Linked DNA regions of Ovis aries. The protein of the gene in region 2 interacts with the protein of the main gene of each other region in a pairwise test. Links are inferred from orthologs where the notes say so. Each region holds a gene or a part of one and is shown on either strand. Other genes may lie near its edges.

Region 1 (4,965 bases), on a different chromosome or scaffold from region 2:
CAATATTCTATATCGGACTTATAACTGAAATCACCCTTCCAGAAGTTGTCTATTTAGGAATAATTTGATAACCAAAGAAAACCAAACAAAGAGAAACAGTTTGTGGTCCCACGAATGCATATTCAGTCTTCCCCTCTGTCAGTTTTTCACTATAGCATTCAGTGAAAACTACTTTCCAAGGGTGACCTACTGCCCTTGGGAAAATGGGTGTAAGGCCCATGGCTACTCTTTTAGTATCACAACATTCATCAAGATAACCTTACTTCATACCATCTCCTTCCTACAGCATTTTCCATTGCAGGGATTTTTTTTCCTAAAACTGTGTTCAAAAGTGGGAGACCTCACTGGGTGTATGTCACCTCCTACAAATACAGGTATCAAGATAATATGAACACAGAGAAATCTATTTTTAAATAATGTTGAGTACAAACACCCCAGTGATTCTGAAGATTAATCTGAAACTATGGGCTAACCAGATACAGCTTGGCAGAAACCAAAGCCAGTGATAACAAGAAGTATGAATTGTTGATGTCAGCACTGAAAGGGTTGAAAATAACAGTGGGCAGAAAACACCTGCTTGTGGGATTGCTTCACAGGGATCTCGTTGCCTGCAATTCAGTCAGTGCCAAATGAATAGTTATTCTCTAAAGACCAGTTAAAGGAAATGAACATCCATTTGGAAAATTCTAAACAGTTGGAATAAACTTGCATCAAGTCTCATTGATGATAATTGTACAGAATCAAATATATCATATACAAATGTTTTGTTTTACTTTTTATTTTCTTTAAGTAAATTTCACAACAGTAACAAAAAACTGTCTAAATAGGAGGAGTCTCACCATGGGAAAGAATATGAGGAAAGGGAGAAGAAAGGACCTACAAAAGATGTGAACATATAAGGAAAATAATTGGTGAGAAAGTGTGTGTGTATGTGTACATAGATACACAGATCACACACACACACACACACACACACACACACACACACCTGTGTCTCATATACCTAAATCATTCTCATCTTCTCCCATAGCCTCCCTGATTGCTTCTTTTTAGTTCACGCTTTCTTCACTCAGGCTTAAAATCAAATGTGGCTCCCTCTTCTTCACCGCTTTTCACAGCAAAGTCTTTGTGTCTCTTCTCAATTCCTTCGGTTCCTCTTTCTCCAACTACTGCAAAAATTGCTCCCTCACCACTAGGCTCTACCCATTTACTGACAAGCAAGTTTCCAGAGTAAGGTTCCTGAAACCTTGTATTCAGTCATGATCAGTTCCCTGCGTACTGGTCAGATTACTACTTCCTCAGGGGAAGTGTCCAAGTCTTATGAAAAACAGCCCAGCTCTGAGGTCTCCCCTCCTCTCCCATACAGACACTCATTGGGTCCACCTAACACAGTAATATACGATTACTTAAACTTCCCTAAGGGCCCCAAGATCTGTACCTCAGCATTTTAATTATCCTTTGCTCTGGAATACCCTTCAATATCCAGTATATCTATCCTTGAAGGTTGTATTCAAAGACATGTACTTGGGTTAGAGCACGTATGTTACTTTATATTGTACAACACCTACTTGTTCTGTCTACTCAATCGTAAACCCTGTAAGGCGGGAAATTTTCCTTCTCATCTTTATACACTCTACACTGCTATACACCTGAAAAGTGAATAAAGGTTTTGGTACTTCCCAAAGGGGCTTTATTTTCAGACAGTAACTTGATAGGAATGTTTTTTTTTTATTAAACTTATTGTCATAAAGGCACTTTGGAATTGAAAAAGATCAATCATCCAAACCAGAACAAATTATTCCCTTATCTCTCTTGAAAAATACCAAAGAATCAGCTATGTGCATCACTTAAAAAAGATCATGACTCTTCCACTATGCTATAACTCTGTAATCCTGAAATTAGAAGGCTTAAGAAGAACATACAACGTGCATGCAAGATTTAAGGGCAAAACTTCATGCTTTAAAACAATTCTAAATATTTTTGTATTCAGATGTGTACGTGGAGCATTATAGCAAGCTAGCTAACCAAAATCTAAAGAGATTTTCTAGTTTGATCCTTTTTTACAAGTTGGAAATTGAAAAAAACTCGCAATAAATCCAGTTGGACATGGATTTTCCCAAATGAGTTTTCCTCTCTAGGGAAATACTTTGCAATCACAATTAAAATAATAACATAATTACTGAGTTATTTGGCACATACTACATGTCAGTCATTCTGTTAAACACTGTGCTTTTCTTCACTTACACCGCAGAAGAGCCCTGCAGGATGGTTCTATTACTATCTTCATTTCAGAAAAAAAGCAAACTGAATCTTAGAGAAGAAAATTACTCAAGATTCCACAGCTACCAAGTGGCAGATCTTGCACTCATTTATCCAATAAAAGTCTTAATTCCCAATAGCGTGAGGTACATCCAGTGCCCAGAACTAAAGATAATTTTGTCAATAAAACTTGCACTAAAAAATCATGTATTTTCCCTGGATTATGAATTGACATGACTATTAGAGACTGGGAGAGAGGCTGGGAGGGAAGGACTCAATGGGAGACATACAGGAAAAAAGAACAATAATTCTCAAACTGATTGTGTCTATAATACATACCATCTTCAAGTTGATATGCTTAATGATTTTTAATTCATCAGAATACCTCTTGTAGTGAGAAAATAATCTTTCAAGTTTTTCCTTTCAAATGTTTCCTTATGGTCTTAAATCTTAAGACTTAATGACTGGAGTCTGAGTTCTCTGGGCCCCTTGCCTCTCTCTTCACCCATACTCTGAGCCACTAATTTCAAAGGATCTGAAATAACATTTTTAACATGCAGTCAAACAAACATATCACTCTTCTCTCAAGAGAACAAGAATACTGTAAAAGGTAAAAAATAGCACTCATACCTGCTTTCTTCCCCGAGGCAAAGTAGCCACAGTATCTGCCAGCATTTGAAGCCTTCTCTTGTCATCATCCATAGTAAAACTGCCTGTGAGCGTGGAGTAAGAGCTATGCCCTGGACCAGCACAGTACTCCATGAAATTGCCATTGCTGCTCTGTTTCCTGAGCTTTTGTAAAGACATTGTGAGTAAAGATTACTCCAGCTAGCACATGGTTGAGTGGCCTTGCAGGGTGGGGAAAGCTAAAAGTATAACCCTCTGACAAGCAATCAAAAGTAGCAAAGCAGAAAGAGCCCATGTGACTTCTGTGGTTTGAGGTACTTGTTACACAAACACTATCTTGCAGTTCACTCCCATTCTCGGTACTTTTTTCTTTAAGCCCCTGAGAGAAGGCTAGTTTTCAGCATTAAAATATTTTTCTTTCTCTTCAAACAGCCAGAACTCTTTCATGTGCTATGGCAAGTTGTGTTCAAAACACCATCTACCTTTTTTTGTAAAAGAAAAAGAAAAAGTTCCCCAAATTCTGCCATTAGTTTGACATCCACTCTCCTACTTAATATGGTCCAGTGTAGTGTAAAGGTCAGGATGTGTGGATATTGATTCCTCATGAGTATAAGCAAGACCTACAGGGTCCAGTCATAATGTCCTCTCATGAAGTCCTTGTAATGTACTTTCACCAAAGTACATCTTAGCTGATTGATGTTCATGAAAAAAAACTTATATCTGCCACTTGGGCTGTGACCATTCAGCATTCCTCTGGTTGAACTTCCACTGGTTCATCCTCACTAAAATTATCCATCATGTCTACAAAGAGCAATGGGAGGGGAATCACATTTAGAGCACAAAGTTGGCCATGTCTTAGACTAGACTTAGTTACGACATCATCAAGTGGTCCAAGGGAGGAATGGAGAGGGCATAAAAGTAATAGGCAAAATAAACAGGCACAAGAACATTTCCAGTTGGTTCCTGCCAACGCATATGCACCAAGGGCAACAACATGAATTACTCACTTTCACTGACGCTTTTATTGGTGGAAGTTGGAGAAACGCAGTTTTAAGGAAATTAGTTTCAGAGGAGGAGCAGGAGACATAAATAGGAGAAAGATTCAAAATAAAATCAAAAGGAGAAGTTTGGTATAGTATAAAAAGAGAATTGTCATTTTCAAAATCATTGGGAAGTTCAATAGTAGAATGTTAAAGAGTCAAAAGTCTTTAAAATGGAAGTCAAAGCAAATTCAGCTCAGGCAAAATCTGCCAAATGTAAATCGTAAAATCTTCAGAGTTAATGGTGCTTAAGAGATGGAGTCACCTCAGAAATTTTTAAAATGCTATCACAGCATGACTCATGATGATTGGAACTAGATAACGACATGAACAAACTGATGTCCCCAAAGACCTGAATGAATGAATGAAAGTCATTCAGTTGTGTCCAACTCTTTGCTTCCCATGGACTGTAGCCCGCCAGGCTCTTCTGTCCATGGAGATTTCCCAGGTCAGAATACTCGAGTGGGTAGCCCTTCCATTCTCCAAGGGATCTTCCTAATCCAGGAATCGAACCCAAGTCTCCCACACTGCAGGCAATTCTTTACCATCTGAGACACCAGGGAAGCCCTATAAAGATCTAAATCAGGGATGACAAACACATATGCCTTCAAGGTTCAGTTGGATAAAATAATATAAATGTGTAATACAAAAGGGAGTGGTAGAGACTTTGGCAACTAATGAATATGGTCAATTAAAAAGACATTTATGGGGTGTGTGTGTGTGAGACAGAGAGAGAGATGAGAGAGAGATTGAGTTTTAAAGTATCTCCAGGTTACTATAAGGTACATGAAGTAAATTAACACTATTACTTGAGGACAGCAGTCCACCCATCTTCTGGGAATTTTATAAAATTAGGTAAATATTTTAATATTTCAAGATACCAAATATAAATGACATGTTTGTCTAAGGACTCTAAGCCAACCAACAATCAGGTTTTACTGACAGATATTAAAATTGTATCACTTAAGTGTGTGATACTAATCTTAAGCTAATATAAATTATAGAAATCTATTGAAAGAATAGATTCTAGAAAAATATG
Region 2 (4,308 bases):
ATGATTATAAACTTCTTTCCTAGACTGTAAACTCCTTGAGGTCAGGATGTTATCTTTCTCTTCTTTGTATTCCCTAGAATGATTACAGTCTGATAGGAACTCAAGAAACATTTGTTGAACAGACGGATTTTCCAGAAATTTTTAGGTTTTGGGGGGCGTTGTCTTTATTTTGTTTGCTCTGTTTTACTTTTTGGTCAGAGCGAGTTACAGGAGATTTTGGTGATTTTGTTCTGATCTGTATCTTCCTCCTGGTGATTCTGGACTGTGTGTTTTGCAGAGGCTGAAGGATGAGATAGCAGAAGTAGCTAATGAAATTGAAAGCCTGGGGTCCACAGAAGAGAGGTGAGTCTGTCCTTTTCTGGGTGGTTTTGTGGTTGTGGCATTGCCAAGTGCCAGCCTAGAATTGTGCCCGTGCCACGTGCTTAAGGAGAAAGTGCATCTTCTGCCTTCTTTTCTAAGCAAGCATGTATGTAGCCATACTTTCTGCCTTCCACGCAGGGACTCCTGAATGTGAAGGCTTTTGATGTTTTTGGAAAGGCTGAACTGGAGAACTTGGCAGGTTCCCCCAAAATCTTAAACTGCCTTTAAATTGTTGTGTGAACTATTTCTTCTCTTCTCTTATCCACTGGGTTCCTATTTTAGTGTTTCCATTTTTTGCTTTGGGTAAAGGAAAAGCTTAACGGATGCTGCTGATGCAGCTCCAGAAGGCTGGAGGCCCAGTTGTGTCTAGGCATCACTGCAAGCTTGCTTGTGCCTCCCTAACACTTAAGAGAACGTAGAAGTGAGATTATAGCACAAAGTGCCAAGGCGTGTCTGCTGGTTCTTTTTTTCCTTTAACATTCCTTAAAGCAATGTTAGTTGCTTTGAGAGTTTAATTTTGAATGAGGTTCCCAGACCATTTTCTAACTGCTTAATGTCGTAAATGGGCTGTTTCTAATTCACTGCATGTCTGTATTTTTCTAAGCCTAAGTCTCCCCGTCTAGCTTCAGGAGACCGTTGGATTTTGTTATTTTAAACTTGTGTGCACAGGGCCATGTGGATTAGTGAAGCTGCATGTCCAGCAGAAACCAGCCAGCTCATCCTGTCCAGTCTCTGCTTTGCCAGTTCTGAATTAACAGCTTTCTTACTTGCCACTAAAAAAAAAAAAAATTGCTGCTTCAAAGAAATGGACAAATTGGTATTTGTCAGAATTTACCATTTCTGCTCTTACAAAAGGTACTCTTAAAAGAAGTGAATAGGGACTTCCCTGGTGGTCCAGGGGCTGAGACTCTGCACTCCCAATGCAGTGGGCCTGGGTTTGATCCCTGGTCAGGGAACTAGAGACCCGGGTTCGATCCCTGGGTGGGGAAGATCCTCTGGAGAAGGAAATGGAAACCCACTCCAGTACTCATGCCTGGAAAATTCCATGGATGGAGGAGCCTGGTAGGCTACAGTCCATGGGGTCAGAAAGAGTCGGACATGACTGAGCGACTTCGCCTCACCTCACCTCAGGGAACTAGGTCCCATGTGCCGCAACTGAAGATCCTGTGTGCTGCAACCAAGACTCAGCGCAGCCAAATAAATGTTTCAAAAAGGAAATGAATAGGCAGGCTTCACACAAGGGGAAAAGACCTGCATTACCTGTATTTGAAAAAAGACTTGTATCTGGAATCTGTATAGAAAGAGCACATAAAACTCACTAATAAAAAGACAACTTGACTAAAAAGCAGGCAAAAAACCGCCATGAACGCTTTTACATGTATAATAGACACGTGAAAAATGCTCAATATCATGAGTCATGAGGAGATGCCACTTTACACCCACTAGGATGGCCAGAGTTAAATAGACAGGTGGTGCCTCATGTTGCTGAGAGCTGGTGAGAACAAGCGGTGTAAACACTGGGGAAAACCGACTGGCAGTTCCTCCTAACGTTGACCGTATACCCCTGCTGTGCCCAGCAGTTCAGCTCCCAGGTATTTACTCAGGAGAAAGGAGAACACACCCACACGCATGAGGGCATCTATAGTGTTTTTATTTAAAATAGCCCCAAACTGGAATTAGCATTAATGTCCCCCAACAGATGAATGGATGAACAGATGAATTCATGAGCTATTAACTTACATAGTTAATATGTAACTATGACAGTGCTCTAAAGCTGGATTATGGCGATGGTTGCCCAACTCAGCAGACTTATTAAACATTGTTCAGATGTGCATTCAAAATGGGTATGTTATATGGTATGTAAATTATACCTCAATAAAATTTCAAAAATGACATGGAAAAAAAAAGAAACCCACTGTAGTAGAAGAAACAAAGGAGCCTAGGACCAGGGTCAGGATTTCAGTTGACCTTCCACAGTTAGACCCAAGTGTGCCTGAGCTTTCCTAGATAAATCTCAGACATCACTGCACTCCACTGACACATGTGGGAGTTATGTCAGTCTTTCAGAAATTCCCGATTACCCAGAGTACTGAAGTGGCTGTGATGGTTGTTTTACAGGAAGAACATGCAGAGGAACAAACAGGTAGCCATGGGCAGGAAAAAATTCAACATGGATCCTAAAAAAGTAAGTGACAAAAGCCAGCAGCCAGAGCCTGCAGTCTGTAAAGTGGCAGTTTCCACATCGTCAGCTGCAGCTTGGGGCATTTGAGACAGCCTCCCTTCCTTTCATGGAGTACAGCTCACGCCATGAGCCCTGCCTCCTGCAGAGCATAGGAAGTACTTACTGGGCACTTCCTCTGTGTGCAGAGCAGCTGTACCCAATTCTTCCTGGGCCCCCACCCCCTTTCTGGATGTTCCTGGTGTCTGAAGCACTATTGGTGTCTTCGCTGTCTTTCCAGGGGATCCAGTTCTTAATAGAGAATGATCTGCTGAAGAACACCTGTGAAGACATTGCCCAGTTCTTGTATAAAGGGGAAGGGCTCAACAAAACAGCCATTGGTGACTACCTGGGGGAGAGGTAAGACCTCCGGAGACCCCTGCAGTAGAGAAGGTTGGGCGGCAGTTACCTAGAGAAACAAACTCCAAGATGCCCCGAGCTTTGTCCCGGGACAGGTGGAGGTGTCCAGCAGCTGGTATCCTGTGTTCAGCCAGTACACAGAGGCTGCAGATCTTTCATCTAACATTTGGCTGCCTCCTGGGCTGCGGGGGGTCTCAGTGCTCAGCCTAGGGGCAGCCTGACTGGGGGTCTGCACGACTTTGGATTCTCAGCCTCATTGTCTGACTTCTGTCTTCTGTTTCTCTTGCTAGAGATGAGTTTAACATCCAAGTTCTTCATGCATTTGTGGAGCTGCATGAGTTCACCGATCTCAACCTCGTCCAGGCCCTACGGTGAGTATGTTTGCAGCCAGTACCTTGTTGAGGGAGACGGGTCTTTGGTTGTAGATCTGTCCTGCACAGTTCAGTTCAGTTCAGTCCAGTTGCTTGATTGTGTCCAACTCTTTGCAACCCCATGGGTCCTGCACCACCTGGTGTTTTAGTGAAGTTGTACCTTGGGTGGTGATTTGAGTATATGTGATTGAAATGATTGGATGGTTCAGTTCAGTTCAGTCTCTCAGTCATGTCTGATGCTTTGTGACCCCATGAACCGCAGCATGCCAGGCCTCCCTGTTCATCACCAACTCCCAGAGTTTACCCAAACTCATGTCCATTGAGTTGGTGATACCATCCAACCATCTCATCCTCTGTCATCCCCTTCTCCTCCTGTCTTCAATCTTTCCCAGCATCAGGGTCTTTTCAAATGAGTCAGCTCTTTGCATCAGGTGGCCAAAGTATTGGAGTTTCAGCTTCAACATCAGTCCTTCCAATGAACATCCAGGACTGATCTCCTTAAGATGGACTGGTTGGATCTCCTTGCCATCCAAGGGACTCTCAAGAGTCTTCTCCAACACCACACTTCAAAAGAATCAATTCTTCGGCGCTCAGCTTTCTTTATAGTCCAACTCTCACATCCATACATGACCACTGGAAAAACCATAGCCTTGACTAGACAGACCTTTGTTGACAAAATAATGTCTCTGCTTTTTAATATGCTGCCTAGGTTGGTCATAACTTTCCTTCCAAGGAGTAAGCATCTTTTAATTTCATGGCTACAATCACCATCTGCTTTTGGAGCCCCAAAAAATAAAGTCAGCCACTGTTTCCACTGTTTCCTCATCTATTTGCCATGAAGTGATGGGACCGGATGCCATGATCTTAGTTTTCTGAATGTTGAGCTTTAAGCCAACTTTTTCACTCTCCTCTTTCACTTTCCTCAAGAGGCTCTTTAGTTCTTCTCTACTTTCTGCCATAAGGGTGGTGTCATCTGCATATCTGAGGTTATTGATATTT

What was found.
Region 1: the proteins of CYTH1 (region 2) and CYTIP interact in binary tests that used the Homo sapiens proteins (3 or more experiments, as listed by UniProt). The link is inferred for Ovis aries from reciprocal best matches to the Homo sapiens genes CYTH1 and CYTIP.

What each region holds. Positions count from the first base shown.
Region 1 is NC_056055.1:152,296,725-152,301,689, reverse strand, and holds the start of CYTIP (cytohesin-interacting protein), read right to left. Parts: upstream 3,136-4,965; 5' UTR 3,067-3,135; coding exon 2,890-3,066; exon of another isoform or gene 2,602-2,889; coding exon of another isoform or gene 2,599-2,601; intron 1-2,598. UniProt on the Homo sapiens protein: By its binding to cytohesin-1 (CYTH1), it modifies activation of ARFs by CYTH1 and its precise function may be to sequester CYTH1 in the cytoplasm.
Region 2 is NC_056064.1:52,960,461-52,964,768, forward strand, and holds part of CYTH1 (cytohesin-1), read left to right. Parts: intron 1-277; coding exon 278-342; intron 343-2,478; coding exon 2,479-2,545; intron 2,546-2,819; coding exon 2,820-2,938; intron 2,939-3,228; coding exon 3,229-3,309; intron 3,310-4,308. UniProt on the Homo sapiens protein: Promotes guanine-nucleotide exchange on ARF1, ARF5 and ARF6. Promotes the activation of ARF factors through replacement of GDP with GTP.